Linked DNA regions of Saccharomyces cerevisiae S288C. The gene in region 1 interacts genetically with each later gene. Each region holds a gene or a part of one and is shown on either strand. Other genes may lie near its edges. The genes, in order: SRL3 and IRC3.

Region 1 (11,988 bases):
GAGGTAAAGATTTCACGAAGAACAAAAATAAAATGAAGAGAGGTTCTTACAGAGGTGGATCCATTACATTAGAAAGTGGTTCATACAAATTCCAAGATTAAAAGAATAGGAAACATAAAACAAAACTCGTTGTCTGGAGTAATCTCCTTTTAAGTTGTAGAGTAAACAAATTGTAATTATAGCAACGATAGAAAAATAATAGTAATAAAGACAATAATAATAGTAACAAAAATGGTAACAGTAATATTTTGTATTGTTTTCCTTTGAAAAAAGAAAAAATAAATAACCTGGTATATAGGTAATCGCGTCACTAAATAATTAAGCATTCAATAAAAGTTTTTTTTAATTATTTTTTTTTTTATGTTTTTGGCTCCTAGAGGTGAATATTTTCTTTTTCTTTCTTCGCAGCTATATACTAAATATTAGTGATATAAACAGCAAGAACTATAAACCTAAAAGTAGCCAAAGCCATGTATATATGCGAAACCCGAATCATTAGTTCAGTCCGATGAGGACATCTTCAATAATGTATCGATAGCAACAACTTCTTGTAAAGAATTCTCCTGTGTACTTTGCGTTCTTCTATGAGATGACCAACGTAACGGCGAAACGTTAACGTTGTCTACCCTATTGCTTTTGGCATGTTTGGACGAAATTGCCTTCAAGAACGCTGCATGAGCGGATGAATCTTCCAGAGAACTCAGAAACTTTTTGGATTCATCTAACGAGTGACAGCGCCTATGCTTAGCGGCAAATTTATTACTATAAGAGCCCTTTCGTATCTTTTCCGTCGGAGGTGGAGGAATCAAAGCTACTTGCTCATGTTCCTTTGATAGCTTAACCATTGCGCAGTTGAGTCTTGATTTTAGCGTGCGTGAAAACTCCCGTACGGAATCGTCATTCTCTTCCTCGATAACCGCTGTGGGAGAAACCAATGGGGGCGTGGGGGATGGAAACATTTCTGCATTCTTAGACCTGGGTGTTGTAGGTGTTATTGGTCCTGGAAAATGAAATTGTACGTTGTATTGATATGTGGGATCCTCATTGCCATCGGGCGAAGGGGCAGATGTAGGAGAATCTTGCGCTTCACTTATTGAAGTTTTGAAATATTTCCTTGCCGGCGTCGCCAGAAGGCTGTTAGATTCAGTATCCAGGTTGGGAGAGATCAATTCGTTTATCGTTAAGACTCTCGATTTGGGAGTCTCATTTACCGTTTCCCAATTAGGTGTCTTAAGAAACATTATATTCGTCTATTATTTATCCGTTTGTGCTCAGGTTCTTCTTCCATCCTCTTGAAAATACAATAAAATAACGAAACATTTCATTGCTTAGCCTTTCCTTAAATAAATTTCCTTATTCTCTATTCTTAGGCTCCTGTTCCCTTTTTAGCTTTTAGCCTTTAATGCACCGGTACGAGAATGTCCAAAAATAGAAATTCGCTACAATTAAATGACGCGTAAAAAAACAGTTAGAGGTAGTTGTTGAGAAGAAGACAACGTAGTGAATATGAGTGAATGATGTCTTTATAACTAACTAACTAATGACGACTAATGTTGTTGATACCATAGATAGGCAGATGCCTTTTTCCTGCGCTATACAATTTATAAATGAACAAGGCTGGCTAATAATATAAAAAATCAAAATCTTATTAAGAATGTTATGAAACATGTGTGCTAGGAAAGACAAATGGGTAGTGATGCTAGTTGAAGTTGATGAGCCTCGTTCTCCTTTTAGAGAGAGTATTGTTCTTATCATTGCTTGATGTAGCATTGTCGATACCTTCCTTCAAGAGAGCTTCCATGTCGTGATTACCGCACAATGGAATTTCCCCATTGAATATATAATAATCATTAGTAATGGCAGTCTTGCATAAGAAACAGTTTAGACAATCCACGTGGAATCGTTCCACCTTATCATTTTCCAGACATTCACCCTCTATGAAATTTGAACAAACCTTACAAATACTGTGATTCTCCTCGTGATAGTGCTTTTGACAATATGGTTCATCGCCTAGAATATAACAGGGAACATGTTTATTGAATTTGATACCACATTCAATGCATTTAAAACATTCACGATGCCATTGACCCGACAGTTCGTTTTCCTTTTTGGAAAACATTCTTTTCCCTGTGACTTCCAAGCCGCATGCTCTGCAAGGTCCCTCCCCAGGCGGATATTTAAACTCAATGGGCTCCGTTTCTTTATAATCTGCATCAGAGCTGTATCTCGTAGTGCCGCCGTTAGGTAATACATGAGAGTCATTAGATTTGGAATTATCAATTTCTTCTCTCAGATCTGTTATGTTGCGCTTATGCTGCAGTTGTAGTGCTTCAATTGTGGGAAGTTTCGTTCTGAAAGTTTCTTGCGAACCCATCCCTTCATTATTGGAGTATTCTACGTTCGACTGTTTAAACTTGTAAAAAATGGGTGTGCCACCATTAGTTGTAGATTCAGATGGCGCGTCTTCATCGACATCGCCTTTATCTACCAGAATAGTTTGTCTGGATAAGTTCGTATTGCTGTTTTGCACAATTGATGTTTGCTGCGTTACGGGTATATCCATGCTGGGATACCCAGATAAATATGCGCTTGACTTTTTGAATCTAGAAGCCTTTCTGTCCACTGCGTTGAGGCAATTGCCGTTCATATCGAGCTTTGCATTTCTAGATAGGGAAACATCGTCTAATTGAGCAATCAATTGTTCGACTTGGAGGTTCGTAGCAGTGTATGGTGTTTCCACGTTTTCTGAAGAAGTTATTGAAAGACGTTTCTCATTTAACCCATCAAGACTTAAATCTTCAACTTTTGTTGACGATGATGACACACCAGGTGATTTCTGTTCCTTTGAAGATTCCAGGCCAGAAAAGTTATCATCAGGATATATTTTAGAGTCTAGTGCGTTCATGGTTAAAGATGGTGTATTACTTTCCCTCGTAACATTAATTTCCGGAATTTTAGGTTCTGTATTCTTTTCCTCTTGTTTTGCTTCTGGAAAATCATCTTGAAGTGGTTCATTTTCAAGATTCATCTGTAGTTTAGGATCTGGTTCAAAATTTAGGCTTTCAATATCATTCTCATCCTCCTGCTGTCCTTCACTTTCATATTCGATTGAACTTTCCTCTTTTTGCTGTTCTTTTCCGAGTTTTTGGTCGAGCACACCTCTGTTATCGGTTTGGTTCATAGAATTTACAACGCTTGCAGTGTCATTTTGAGTCAGCATCATGAAACTTCTTTCAATAGGGCTCAAATCTTGTTCCCTTTCAGTATTACCAGCATCTTCTTGTTCGAAGTTGAAGGGGAAGTTATCTGCGGCTTGGAATTCCTTGTTAGCAGGTGATTTACATGTATGCCTAGAGGCAGCATATTGTTCCGCCTGACGGTCTAAGTCGCGTTCAAAACGGAAGGGATCCTCTTGCGAAGCACGCTCGCTGGGCCTGGAAATAGAACGAGATATGTCACTGGGTCTCGAAGACGTAAAATTGCTATTCTTTGGAGGAGTTACACTCCGCCTCTCGCTATTCTCCAATACGGGAGGCGGATAAATGTCAGACTCGCCCTTTACAGATGAATAAGCACTCTTTGAAGACGCCGTATACGCACTCTTCATCGTGACCGGAACAGATGGGGCGGCAGATACATTTCTTTGACGGGTTATTGGCGGCGACTTCACGGAAGCTTGTAAACTTCCAGTGGAAGCATTCCTCTGACTACTGAACGGATTACGCGGCTTAGTGTCAAACCCTGCTCTTTCTAGAGCAGTTTTGTAGCGGACCTTCGGATTTATTTTAGGGAAGGGGGACCCGTAGATTGAGTTATACATTGACTTGAGCGTTTCTTTTGCTAAATTTATTCTTGTTTTTCCCCTTACGTTATTCACTATAAGCTTTGAAGAAGCTTGAAAAAAATTCGGCTATAATATCCTATTCTAGCTGTATAAATTAAATATTCAACACAGCAGAAATATATTTTAAGGCTACCTCTTAAATTTGCAACACTCCAGCTTTTCTATTATTATTATTTACTTATTTTTTCATGTTTCCTATTATTCATGGAATTGAAAAAGGACGCGAATTGAAAATTTCGAAAGAAATAGGGCTAGGCGCTTCAAAAAGTCATTAGGTTTACTTACCAATATTAGTAGGTTAAATATTAGAAAAAAGGAAAAAAGATCTTAAGGGGTTTAAAAAAAGTAGGGTAAACTAGGGCTGACATATTACCCCTCTTATACGATAATTGCGACTATGAAACGCTAAACCACAATTATAAAGTATGGTTGATTCAAATTGTCATTATGTCATTATTGTACTCGTAAAAGAGGCCTGTATTCAAGTATTTGATCAAAAAAATTAGCGCTGTAATAATTATTGAAGGGAGTACAGGTATATGTAATAAAAGTCTGAATGAGCAGCAAAATATCAGATCTTACATCTACACAAAATAAGCCCCTCCTTGTTACGCAACAACTAATCGAAAAATATTACGAACAGATCCTGGGCACTTCCCAGAACATAATTCCTATTTTAAATCCGAAGAACAAGTTTATTAGGCCCAGTAAGGATAATTCAGATGTTGAAAGGGTGGAGGAGGATGCTGGTAAAAGACTGCAAACTGGCAAGAACAAAACTACGAACAAAGTAAATTTCAACCTGGATACTGGAAACGAGGATAAACTTGACGATGACCAAGAGACAGTAACAGAAAATGAAAATAATGATATCGAGATGGTTGAGACAGACGAAGGCGAAGATGAAAGGCAAGGGTCATCTTTAGCCAGTAAATGCAAATCATTTCTTTACAACGTTTTTGTGGGAAACTATGAAAGAGACATTCTTATTGACAAAGTCTGTTCACAAAAGCAACATGCGATGTCATTTGAAGAATGGTGTTCTGCGGGCGCCAGATTGGATGACCTCACTGGGAAAACAGAATGGAAGCAGAAATTGGAAAGTCCCTTGTATGATTACAAGCTAATAAAAGATTTAACATCTAGAATGCGTGAGGAGCGCTTGAATAGGAATTACGCTCAATTGTTGTACATCATTAGGACGAATTGGGTACGAAACCTGGGAAATATGGGGAATGTAAACCTATATAGGCACTCCCATGTAGGCACCAAATATTTAATTGACGAGTATATGATGGAGTCTAGGTTAGCGCTAGAATCTTTAATGGAGTCTGATCTTGATGATAGTTACCTTTTGGGTATACTGCAACAAACGAGAAGAAATATTGGTCGTACCGCTTTAGTTCTCAGTGGGGGTGGAACTTTTGGTCTTTTCCACATCGGTGTCCTTGGTACTCTATTTGAATTGGATTTATTACCCAGAGTGATTAGTGGTAGCAGTGCTGGTGCAATTGTAGCAAGCATATTATCTGTCCATCACAAAGAAGAAATTCCGGTTTTACTAAATCATATTTTGGATAAAGAATTCAACATTTTCAAAGACGATAAACAGAAAAGTGAAAGCGAGAATTTGTTAATAAAAATATCTAGGTTCTTCAAAAACGGTACGTGGTTTGATAACAAGCATCTGGTAAATACAATGATAGAATTTTTGGGAGATTTGACATTTAGGGAAGCTTACAATAGAACGGGTAAAATTTTGAATATAACCGTTTCGCCGGCATCTTTATTTGAACAACCGCGCTTGCTGAATAATTTGACTGCACCAAACGTCCTGATTTGGTCCGCCGTATGTGCATCATGTTCACTACCGGGAATTTTCCCCTCGAGCCCACTTTACGAAAAAGATCCAAAAACGGGAGAAAGGAAACCATGGACTGGTAGTAGTTCGGTCAAATTTGTCGATGGTTCTGTGGACAATGACTTGCCCATTTCTCGTCTTTCTGAAATGTTTAATGTAGACCATATTATCGCATGCCAGGTGAATATTCACGTATTTCCCTTTTTGAAACTATCACTATCCTGTGTTGGCGGGGAAATTGAGGACGAATTTAGTGCAAGATTAAAGCAAAACTTATCAAGTATATACAATTTTATGGCCAATGAAGCTATTCATATTCTAGAAATTGGAAGTGAGATGGGAATTGCCAAAAACGCGCTTACAAAACTGAGATCGGTATTATCTCAACAATATTCTGGTGACATCACTATTTTGCCCGACATGTGTATGCTTTTTAGAATAAAGGAGCTGTTGTCAAACCCAACAAAAGAATTTTTATTAAGGGAAATCACCAATGGTGCAAAAGCTACGTGGCCCAAGGTTTCCATTATTCAAAATCACTGTGGCCAGGAATTTGCTCTGGATAAGGCGATTTCTTATATCAAAGGTAGGATGATTGTCACCTCCTCTTTAAAAACCCCCTTCCAATTTGCTGATTCAGTCATTGGATTAATTAAAGCTCCAGAGCAAACGTCAGATGAGTCCAAAAACCCAGAAAATTCAACATTGCTAACTAGGACTCCAACCAAGGGTGACAATCATATTTCCAATGTTTTAGATGACAACTTATTAGAATCAGAATCGACAAACTCTTTGCTATTGTTACGTGAGAATGCAAGCACATATGGGCGGTCACCTTCCGGGTTTAGACCGCGGTATTCCATTACGTCCGCTTCTCTCAATCCGCGTCACCAAAGAAGGAAATCAGATACTATTTCAACTTCAAGGCGACCAGCCAAATCCTTTTCATTTTCAGTTGCTTCTCCCACATCAAGGATGTTGAGGCAATCCAGCAAAATCAATGGACACCCACCGCCAATTCTGCAGAAAAAAACAAGTATGGGCCGGCTAATGTTTCCTATGGATGCCAAGACCTATGACCCGGAAAGCCATGAACTTATCCCACATTCTGCCAGCATTGAAACACCTGCCATGGTAGACAAGAAATTGCATTTTGGCCGAAAGAGTAGATACTTGAGGCATATGAACAAAAAATGGGTCAGCAGTAGCAACATATTATACACAGATTCGGATAAAGAAGACCATCCTACATTGAGACTGATAAGTAACTTCGATTCAGACGCAATGATTCATAGTGATTTAGCGGGCAATTTCAGGCGTCATAGCATTGATGGAAGACCCCCTTCTCAAGCTACAAAGAGCTCACCGTTTCGATCGAGGCCTTCTTCTTCAACGCAGCACAAAAGCACCACCAGTTTTACTCAATAAGAAAACACGGGCTTGCTTATATATCCTCTAGATATTCTTTTTCATCTATGTATTTATTCGAATGGCCTTTCTCATTCATATCATTTTCAAAGCGGAAATCGAAATCATTGTTTTCTCTCGAGCTGCACTAAGAAAAAAAGCCACTTTACTAAAACAATACCTTCAACATATTTGAAAATATTATTATGGTGGAAGAAAGATATTGGTTACACAAATGAGTCAGTCTTACGAAGCAGGAAATGCCAATATGGGCCAAGGGGAGGATGATGAATTTGATGGCTATTTCGAAGACTTTGACAACGATATCATGCCAAATAGTAATAATGGACAAAGGGTTGGTACTAATGCTGGATTGTCATTCAATGACGAAGTAAATGTTAATGATGATGATTTTTTAGACATTTATAATATGTCCCCTAGAGAGAGATTGATGCATAATATCAGGAAGAATGTTCAAAAATTACAGTTTTATTTTTATTCACTACGCTTATGGCAACAGATTATCATTGTCCTCCTCGGCATAATGCTAATGATAATGGGTATATTGTTGCTCGTCTTCCATAATGCGATTTTACATAAAGTTGTTGTTACTTCGAACGATTTGAGAGAAAAGATGTCAACACATTTTATATTAATGGTTCTGATATTCTTTGTCGCATTTCCTCCTATGATTGGCTACTCCTTATTATCCACCACTACTGGGTTGATCTATGGTGTCAGTTTTGAGGGATGGGTTACGCTAGCTTTGGGATCTGTAACAGGTTCCATTGCCTCTTTCGTTGTGTTCAAGACGATCTTGCATTCAAGAGCAGAAAAGCTTGTGCATTTGAATAGAAGATTTGAAGCATTGGCTTCAATTTTACAAGAAAACAATAGCTATTGGATTCTAGCTCTACTGAGATTATGTCCCTTCCCATATTCTTTGACTAATGGTGCCATAGCTGGTGTTTACGGTATCTCGGTACGCAACTTTTCCATTGCCAACATAATAACCACACCAAAGCTGTTCATCTATCTATTTATAGGTTCTCGTGTAAAGAGTCTCGCAGAATCTGAATCTACAGGATCTAGGGTATTTGACTTGGTAAGCATTATTATCACATTATTAATCCTAAGTCTTACAGCATGGCTCTTATACTTCAAGACTAAGAAGAGATATTTAGAACTACAAAACCGCGACCGTCAAGTGTCCACTGATCAACTACCTGAATTGTCTTTTGAGGTCTAATCCTCCGTATACGTTTATATATGTTTAGATAAGTTGGTTTTATATGGGTAACCCAAATTACTATTTCTACTTCTTTCTACGTCCGATATAAAGAACTTAAAAGACAAAAAGCAGTTTTTCGAAGCGACATCAACCAATCTAAGTTAAGGTATGGAAAGATAAAATACAAGAAATGTTACGCAACATCATCAGGTTCAAAGGATTTGGAAAAGGGACCAGTGGAGGATTTTTAAAACCTGTATCATTTCGTGTTCAGTTAACGCGATGTTACCGCTATGACAATGGTCCTTCATATCGTCGATTTAATAATGGAGAGTATTCCCAAAAATCATCGTTTAAAAGCATTCTTCTCGATAAGTCATCAAGAAAATACTTAGCTTTATTATTTGGTGGATGCTCTCTCTTTTATTATACACATTTGGATAAAGCACCGGTAAGCGATAGGTCCAGGTTCATCTGGGTATCGCGTCCATTAGAGTTAACTATCGGAAATTACACATACAAATCAATTTGGAGACAAACGCAGCAGGAAATATTACCTCCACAGCATCCGCTGTCCATCAAAATTGAGAATATTTTCATGAAAATTGTCGAAGCTGCTTATAAGGACCCTAGTGTAGACAACTCACTACTGGACGGAATCAAGTGGGAAATTCATGTGGTCAATGATCCAACTGCTTCACCAAATGCATTCGTTTTACCAGGGGGTAAGGTCTTTATATTCAGCTCTATTTTACCTATTTGTGCTAATGATGATGGGATTGCCACTGTTTTAGCACACGAATTTGCTCATCAGCTAGCAAGACACACAGCCGAAAATTTGTCGAAGGCTCCTATATATTCTCTTTTGGGTTTGGTGTTATATACTGTTACTGGAGCTCATGCTATCAACAATATACTATTGGATGGGTTTTTGCGAATGCCAGCATCAAGACAGATGGAAACCGAAGCTGATTACATTGGCCTGATGATAATGTCAAGGGCATGTTTTCAACCACAGGAGTCAATAAAAGTGTGGGAAAGAATGGCAAATTTTGAAAAGCAAATGAATAGAGGGGGTGTTGTGAATATGGAGTTTCTAAGTACACATCCAGCAAGCACTCGTAGAATAGAGAATATGTCGAAATGGTTGCCAAAAGCTAATGAAATTTATGAACAATCTGATTGTAGCAGTATGGGTAACTATTATAAAAGTTTTTTCTCAATGTAAGCACTCCACGAGTTATGCTCTTTTCTTTTGTACCCAATAAATAACCCTTTGTTTTATGCATGCATATAACTATATAATAACATATATGAATATTTTGCCTATTAGCACGCTCTTCCCATAAACTAAAAAAAAGGCTTCCTTCTTTTGAAAGGTTTCATTGAATTTTCTTTGCCGTTCAGTATATTTTGCTTTTTCGTTTTTTGCTTTTTGTCTTCTTTGTTTGAATTGTCGGTCATTTTGAGCTCCTGTATCACACTGTCTCTCATATCCTTACATCTCCTAATATTGATATCAATATCATCTTCAACCTTGTCCAGAGTATGTTCATAGTGTTCACCAAAGAGGCCTGTAGTTGTGGCCTCCTGATCATTTTTAATACGCTTGATGTCGTAGAGTAACCCACCATATTCCATTAACCAGAATGGATCTACAGAAGTAACACAACAAATGTATTCTTTGCTAGTCATTAATAATTCATGATATACCACGTAAGGGGGTAAATCCCCCAATCCGTGTAATGCACTTGTAGGGTGTAGTTGAACACTTACGCCAGTTTTTAAATGAACGTAATTTCGTAGTCCTGTTATTTTGGCTGCTTGATGAGCAAATCCTGAACAAATACATTTTTTAATAATATCCCAGTCCTTACCGGAGGAAATGACCGGAATTTTTTGAGATTTTAGTATTGTTAGCAACTGGTCTCGAATGTCTCTTGCCCTGACAAGTGATTTGTATTGAACAAAATGTTTGTTACACCAATGCGAACTAAAATTATTTGCCCTCCATTGTTCAAAAACATTAAGTAACGTTAAGTGATCTGATTTCGCGATAAAAAATTTATTTCTAGCAATATCTGCTTCTTTCTGTCTTTCCTTGGGTCTATAAAAGACTTGTGGAACAGAAAGCATGGAAACTATTGTTAACATTTCATCACTGCAGCCGTTTCTAACTGCAATTAATAAAATTTTGGAAAGGGAAGGTTGCAGGGGAAATTTTGCCATCTGTAATCCCAATGGAGTCAATTGTCCACTAGTGTCTATAGCCCCTATGAACCATAACTCATACAATGAGGATAAAAATGTTTGTAAGGGTGGTTTATCAATGAACGGGAACTTACTCAATTCGTCAGTAACGTCCAGAGATTTTAGCAGTAAAAGGGTGTTTGACAAATTCGTTCTTTGGATCTCAGGTATTGTCTGTAAGTACATATCTTCTTTGAATGTATCTTCCGTGTATAATCGATATGCAGTGCCTGGCGCAGTTCTTCCCGCTCTTCCGGATCTTTGGTCGGCGTTAGCTTTTGATATGGGCGTTATTACTAAACTATCAAGCCCAATCTTTGGATTGTAAACTTTCAGTTTAGAGTAACCACAATCAATGACATATCTAATACCTTTAATGGTCAATGAAGTCTCTGCAATATTTGTCGCAATTATAATTTTCCTTTTAGTGCCATGTAGATCCTGAAAAATTTTGAATTGCAAATCTGCAGGTAAAGCCGAGTAGATTGGTAAAATTTCAATATCATTGATCTCTTCAAAGTTTGCGGTACCAAACTTTTTAGAATATACTTGCAAAAACTTTTCTTGCAGAGTGTCGAACGTTGTTTCAATATCTTCTTGACCTGTCATGAAAATGAGAATATCACCGCTTGAACAATCGTTTGCTAAATGAATTTTCACAGCCTGAGAAACTGCAGCTTCTACGTAGTCTTGAACAGGGTTGGAAGTATATATGGTCTGTACGGGGAAAGTTCTTCCAGGAATTGTGAACTGAGGAGCATTACCAAAAAATGCGGAGAACTTCTTCGCATTCATTGTTGCTGAAGTGATTATGAGTTTTAGATCTCTTCTACGTGCTAATAAAATCTTGAAAAAACCTAGTAAAATGTCTGTATTTAATGACCTTTCATGAGCTTCATCAATAATAACACACGAATATTTATCGAGTGTATCATCCAATAAGGTCTCTCTGAGTAGAATACCATCCGTTACAAACTTAAGTTTTGTACACTCAGAATCCGTCACATCTTCAAACCTTATAGAATAGCCTACTTCCTTACCCAATGGAACTTGCATTTCCATTGCAACCCTTTTTGCAACGGATATGGCTGCTACTCTTCTCGGCTGTGTGACAACAATAGATTTCCCCCTATCGTTGGCATATCCTTCTTCATATAAATACTGTGCAAGTTGCGTGGTTTTACCTGAGCCCGTTTCACCAATTATCACCACTACTTGATTTTCTCTTATCAATGATAACAATTGAGATCTGCAGCGGAAAACAGGCAGTTGCTCTTTAGTATGTTTAATGTCATCTTTTGATGGCGTGAAAAGAGCTGTATCGTCGCAAATCTTTTGGTTGCTCTTATCTTTTGCTTTATTGTTATTCTCCAAGCCTAGTACTTCCCCCATGGC
Region 2 (7,258 bases), on another chromosome or scaffold:
AAGGGAAGCTTACCAACAACAACAGCCTGACCAAGATTATGTCAGGCCACCTGATGAGGCAAGACATGAAGTACTTACTGAAACTTCAGGATTCCCAATTTCTTACGGCGGCATTGGCGGAAGATTTGAACCATTGCATAGGGTGAACGACATGTTTGACGAAGGAAGACCTGAAAGCATTTTTAATCAACGATTGGATGACACAAATACTAATACATACATCAATGACAACTCTTCAGATTCCTTGGACTCCGAGGAAGAAAATGACGACGACGAATATGAGTATGTGGAAGAGCCGGTCATCGAACTTGATGAAGACGGCAATATCAAGGAGTACACCAAATTAGTGAGAAAGCCTAAAACCATTTCCAAGGAGCAGAAATTAGCTTTGTTATTTAGGCCTCCATTTTCAATCATGTCCAAACTCGACTTAGACGCTGCAAAGCAAAAGGCAAGGGCAAAGCAAAAATGGATAATGATTAACATTCAGGATTCAGGAATCTTCCAATGCCAAGCCCTCAACAGGGATTTGTGGTCGTCCAGACCGGTAAAAACTATAATCAAAGAGAACTTCGTTTTCCTACAGTATCAATATGAATCACGTAATGCCCAACCCTATCTTCAGTTCTATCACTTGAATAATAAGGATGATTTGCCCCATATCGCGATACTGGATCCAATTACCGGTGAACGTGTCAAGCAATGGAATAGGGTTGTTCCCATTCCAGAGCAATTCATCTCAGAAATCAACGAGTTTTTGGCCTCATTTTCGCTAGATCCAAAGGTCCCTAATCCCACGGTTAATGAACCTCTTCCTAAAGTGGATCCAACAACTTTGACCGAAGAGCAACAAATGGAATTAGCCATTAAAGAGTCATTAAATAATAACTCGAGCAAATCAAACCAAGAAGAAGTGCCGAGTACTGGCGAAGAACAGAAACGAGTACAAGAACCGGATCCATTCAGTACCATTGAAGCCAGGGTGCATCCAGAACCGCCAAATAAACCAGGGATCACTACAAGAATTCAAATTCGTACCGGTGATGGCTCCAGACTAGTTCGTAGATTCAATGCTCTGGAAGACACTGTGCGTACTATTTACGAGGTTATCAAGACAGAAATGGATGGTTTTGCCGATTCAAGATTCACACTAAATGATCACCAAAGAGAGGACTTGATTGATAAATTAAACATGACCATAGCGGACGCCGGCTTAAAAAATAGTTCTTTACTACTTGAGAAGCTTGACCCTGAAATAGAATAAACAAATTGTATGGTGGCAGGTACCTAGATGTAATTAGGTATGTAAGCACTTATAACACGACGGAAATACCCGGATATTGTATTTTTATTTTTTTCCCATTAGCACGCCAAACATAAGAAAAAACGCATACAAAGACGTAAAGGAATAGTTCATAGGTGTAAATACAAAATATATATCACATTTAAGCATAGCAAATTGCAAAAGCCGAACAAAATGCGTATAGCGATGCATCTGCCGCTGTTGCTTTTATACATATTCTTACTACCCCTTTCAGGTGCAAATAACACAGATGCTGCACACGAAGTTATAGCAACGAACACAAATAATTGGGCCGTATTAGTATCCACGTCGCGGTTCTGGTTCAATTACAGGCACATGGCTAATGTCCTTAGTATGTATAGGACTGTAAAGAGGTTAGGTATACCGGATTCACAAATAATATTGATGCTGAGTGATGATGTGGCCTGCAATTCAAGGAATCTATTTCCTGGAAGTGTTTTTAACAATAAGGATCACGCTATTGACCTTTACGGAGACTCTGTAGAGGTTGACTACAGAGGTTACGAAGTTACCGTGGAAAACTTTATAAGGCTGTTAACGGATAGATGGACAGAAGACCATCCTAAATCTAAACGGTTGTTGACGGATGAAAATTCAAATATATTCATCTATATGACAGGACATGGTGGCGATGATTTTTTAAAGTTCCAAGATGCTGAAGAGATTGCTTCTGAAGATATTGCAGATGCATTCCAGCAAATGTACGAAAAGAAAAGATACAATGAAATCTTCTTTATGATAGATACATGTCAGGCAAACACAATGTATTCCAAGTTTTATTCTCCAAATATTCTGGCTGTAGGCTCTAGTGAAATGGATGAAAGCTCGTACTCGCATCACTCGGACGTAGAAATAGGGGTTGCTGTTATTGATAGATTCACCTATTACTGTTTGGATTTCCTAGAACAAATCGATAAAAATTCCACGTTAACTTTGCAGGACCTCTTCGATTCATTCACCTTCGAAAAGATTCACTCTCATGTGGGTGTCAGGACTGATCTGTTTGATAGGAATCCGTCAGAAGTATTGATTACTGATTTTTTTGCGAATGTGCAAAACGTAATTCCTGATGATTCAAAACCTCTTTCCGTAAGTCATTATCATCATTACAAAGATCATATCGATACTGCTCAGTATGAGCTTAACAATAATGTGCTGGATTTGGCCTTGGAGACTTACCGCAAAAACAATCAATCCTCCAAGATTGAAAAAAAAATCAAAGACATCAAGTCTACTAGTGTATTGGATGTTGATATAGATTCCAACGAATGTTTCTTCACCTCCTTCAAACAATCAGCTACCATAATACTGGCGCTTATAGTAACTATTCTGTGGTTCATGCTGAGAGGAAACACTGCTAAAGCAACCTATGACCTGTACACTAATTAAAACACTTTTATCCATTTTTTTTCGTATAAGCATATTTTACATCTTTATATATATTTATTTTTTTTTTTTTTATTTTGGTAGAATAGATTACATATACAACTTTTTCATAATGTCAAACTATAGAGTTTTATTTCACATAACGGAAGAAGCCTATTGGAGCCATGAGTATAATAAAATATGACCTCAACACTAGCCACTAGACTCTCGACATATTCTATTTCATTAATACTGCAGCGCATCAAAATTATAAAACGTTGTTACTCAGCTCCCGTACTCAGAGATTACCAACAAGATGCTATAGATGCATGTGTGAATTCTATTCGACAGGGCACCAAGAGAATTGGTGTATCATTAGCCACTGGTGGTGGTAAGACAGTGATATTCTCAAATCTTATCAATCAATTGCGCCAAAACTATTTTAAAGAACGTCAAGGAAATTTTAAATCGTTGATCCTGGTTCACAGGAGGGAGCTGGCCTTACAAGCGACGGCCACTCTTAAAAAAATATTCCCCGACTTAAAGGTTCACATAGAAATGGGAAAATATGATTGCGATATTGAAGATTCTGACGTGATTGTTGCATCTGTTCAGACGTTGATTAGAAGACTCCATAAATATGATACTAATTCAGTGAATCTCATCATCATTGATGAAGCACATCATTCTGTGGCTAATTCTTATAGAAGTATCTTAGATCATTTCAAAGCTTCAACTGCAGAAACCAAAATCCCTGTTATTGGCTTTAGTGCGACTTTCGAAAGAGCAGATAAAAGAGCTTTGTCAATGGTAATGGATAAAATTGTGTACCACCGGGGAATACTGGAAATGATCGATGACAAGTGGCTATGTGAGGCAAAATTCACGTCAGTCAAAATTGAAGCAGACTTATCAGATGTAAAAAGCACTGCAGATGACTTCCAGCTGGCACCGTTATCGTCTCTAATGAATACGAAAGAAATTAATGAAGTAATTCTGAAAACTTACCTTCATAAAAAGCAAGAGAAATCACTAAAATCAACATTACTGTTTGGCGTTGATAAAGCCCATGTACAAAGTTTGCATAAATTATTTAAAGACAACGGTATTAATACGGACTATGTCACCTCGGATACAAAACAGATAGAACGAGATAATATAATTCAAAAATTCAAAAATGGGGAAACTGAAGTACTCATGAACTGTGGAATATTCACAGAAGGAACGGACATGCCAAATATTGATTGTATACTACTGTGTAGGCCCACAAAATCGCGTTCACTTTTGATTCAAATGATTGGAAGAGGTTTACGGTTACACCATTCGAAAGACCACTGTCATATCATCGACTTCATTGGAGCTTCTAGTGTTGGAGTGGTTTCAGCGCCCACTCTACTGGGTATAAGGAGTGATGATATCGAATTTGATGATGCTACAGTTGAAGATTTAAAAGCAATCCAAGGAGAGATAATAGCTAAACAACAAAAAATCGACGAAAGGTTAAGGGCTTTATTTCAGACTGATGAAGCAGCAATGGAAAATGTAACTGAAAGAAATAGCGTTGCCGATTGGATTCACAGTGCAAATTCGGTTGATTTAACCTTGTGCTCCTTTGATAGTTTTAGGAATTTTACACAGAGCAATAACTCATATCCATCTGGCAAGGAGTTTGATGAAGCTTCTGAAGCTGTAAAAGAAATGGAGCTGTTGATGAACTCACAATATCCGTGGGTGAAATTTGCCTCAAATGCGTGGGGCCTCCCTTTAAAAGGTAAGAATCATTTGAGAATATACAAAGAAAAATCCGAAGACAAATTGTCGATGGTATATCATCTAAAAATGTATCGACAATTACCGTGTTTTATAACAAATAAATACGCGGACTATGTTCCAAAAAGTATAATAAAAGACGCTAATCTTTGGAATGTAATGTCAAAGGTGGAAAAAATCATAAATACTCTAAATTCGGACTTGGAAGGACAAACAATGCAATACCAGGCAATATCTAGTAAATACTCGAAATGGAGACAAACAGTTCCTACGTCAAAACAAAGAGACTTTGTTTTCAGAAAGCTAAAGAAAGTATATGGTGAGTCCTCAAAAGATTTTATTAGATTATCTTTGGATGATGTTACTACTTATGTAAATACTAAGATGACGAAAGGAGATGCTTCCAACTTAATCTTTGCCAGCAGTTTGGCACCTGTCTACCCGTTGAAATCATTGTTACGAATATTAGAATATCAAAAAAGAAGATCTTTTATAAAGTGAAATCCGTAGCTACATAAATGTGCATATATTAATATACAGTCACTAGTACATATGTAAACGTCGGACCACTCGTATATGCATTTTCTTTTGGATCACACCCTTTCTGAACTATGCAATGAATAACGTTAAATTCAAATAAGTGCTTTAGCCTTACTCTGCGTACTAGAAAATGAGCTGCAACATTTCTTATTAACCCTCATTTTCATTTGACTCTTCATTTTCATGAATGTACTGTTGCAAAGATATTTGTCTAATTTGATTCAACAGGTCCTCATCTTGCATTCTTTCTGCCTGAAGGACAGCTAAATCCTTTTCATTAATAAAGGTTTTGATGTTTTCAACCACTTCGATTGATTCTTTTGACGTAGGCATTGGTGGTAATACGTCAAACTCATATACTTCATTATCAGACCAGATAAATGATGGAATTGCAGCCATTACAGAAGACTCCTCAGATAGTATGGCGAATCTTAATAAGTTAATTGGGATTCCCGCAATAAAGAAAGGTGATTGCAAGTTGTTAATGTTATTGTGATCTTGCCCATCATTTGAATCGATTGTAACGTTTCCTCTATGGTAATCCTGTAAAATACTCGACATTTCATCATGCAAAAATGTTACCTCTTCGTTTCTATTCCAAAGTAACGGGAAGCGGGCCATATATGCCTTTAATTCCAAGTTTTCTGCCGAATGGCCATCAATGGATAAATCTTTAGTTAGCGCATGATCGCCCAAGAGTTTCTCCTTGAAAAGTTCTGACAGTTGTAAAGGATGATGCTTAAAGGCTTTTAGAAGCGCATTGCGGGCGGAACTCATCTCATTTATTCTTAGGAAGCTTAGTACTACCGCCAAGGAAAATCCTAAAGTATTCCACTGTTTATAACAGTTCATTAATGGAGAGTTGGATAATTCTATAATGTACTGATAGTCATTATTCAATAGAAAATAGTGATCGAGGAAATACCTGCATCCTAAAGGATCTTCCAATGGGCTCAGTGACCAGAGAACTTTTGTCCATTCACTAGCAGTTCCTATAACACCTCTTTGAGCAAGAGATTGGATGTATCTAAATATTGCCAAGTAAAACTGTCTGTTGAAGAAGTATATATAAGGTAGTTGACAATTCAAGGAATCGAAAATAATATTTGCTTTCAAAGCTCTATCAAAGACAAAGAGTGCTCTTTGTAACAATCCATTAGTGTTTGATCTATCACCTTGCCTAATAAATATCAAAGCAACTTGTAGCAGTCCAGGCACATGATACGGAAATTTAGAAGAAATCAAATTTATAAGGGCTTCATGATCAGGGTGAACAATAACACTTAAGTAGAAGTCCATCATTGATTTCTTGCTCAGGTCGGAATTTAAAGGTTCGAACTTATAAAAAGAAATGAATTTTTGCCACTGACTGACATCGTTTTGGATAACATCCTTCCAATCTAACGGCCTTTCCCATAATTGCCAATCTAAAAGATCATCAGAACTTAAAAGTTTCATAGAGAGCTCACCTCTTTGAGTTGGGATCCAATCATCTCTGATCTTGGTAAACTTCAAATGTTGCGGGTGCATTCCGGGGCCATTAGGTGCCAATCTATGATCTTTTCCGCCCCAGTTTCTAATTAATCTTTTCAGTCTCTGAATCTGTTTCAGCTGCTGAGGGGAGACAGGTGTGGATGTCATCGAATCAATATCTTCAAGAGACTCTGGAGATATATCGTCAAATAAAAGTTTGAATTCCGTATGGGGGTCCAATTTCTTGAAATCATTTTGAAAAAATTTGCAAGAATGCCTCAAACATGAAATGGGGAACTTTGTGAAGCCCGGATCACTTTCTAAGCTTAAAAATGACTTCCAAGGTTGGCTAGATGCTTCCTCTGGTTCAGATGCCGTGAAGAAACCTTCCTCATTAGTGTCATCATTTTTAGTCTTACCGTACTTCAATATATCAGTTTTTTTGAACTGTTGGATAATCTTGTCGAATTCTTCATCATCATCATCATCATCGGAACCCTTGTCTTTTGCAGCCTCGGCGGTATGGTTTTTTTGCTTCCTTTTTGCCTTTTTATTCTTTTTCCTTCTAGAAGACTTGGATGCTAGTGTAATTCTTTTAGGTTGACCATTACTTTGAGTATCACGCTCCCCAGCAGCAGCAGCTTCTTCATCCTGCTCAGACATTTGTCCTTCATCAGTGCTATTATCTGAATCACGTACGTTATTCATCATAGAGAAGATGTTCTCCCGTTTCTGAATATTACCGGCAGTACTTTTACCACTCGTCATTTTATTCGCATTTGAATT

Evidence for each region.
Region 2: mutations in SRL3 (region 1) and IRC3 together harm fitness more than expected from each alone (negative genetic interaction), as found in Saccharomyces cerevisiae (2 studies listed by BioGRID).

What each region holds. Positions count from the first base shown.
Region 1 is NC_001143.9:600,778-612,765, reverse strand, and holds SRL3 (DNA-binding protein SRL3), read right to left. Parts: upstream 1,242-11,988; coding exon 501-1,241; downstream 1-500. Other genes in the region: SRP40 (Srp40p), read left to right, coding at 1-101; PXL1 (Pxl1p), read right to left, coding at 1,700-3,820; TGL4 (triacylglycerol lipase), read left to right, coding at 4,401-7,133; TVP38 (Tvp38p), read left to right, coding at 7,348-8,361; OMA1 (metalloendopeptidase), read left to right, coding at 8,534-9,571; DEAH-box RNA helicase PRP16, read right to left, coding at 9,694-11,988. UniProt on the Saccharomyces cerevisiae protein: Weakly suppresses a RAD53 null mutation when overexpressed.
Region 2 is NC_001136.10:1,128,111-1,135,368, forward strand, and holds IRC3 (double-stranded DNA-dependent ATPase), read left to right. Parts: upstream 1-2,890; coding exon 2,891-4,960; downstream 4,961-7,258. Other genes in the region: DNA protein crosslink repair co-factor UBX5, read left to right, coding at 1-1,264; GPI8 (GPI-anchor transamidase), read left to right, coding at 1,478-2,713; RQC1 (Rqc1p), read right to left, coding at 5,150-7,258.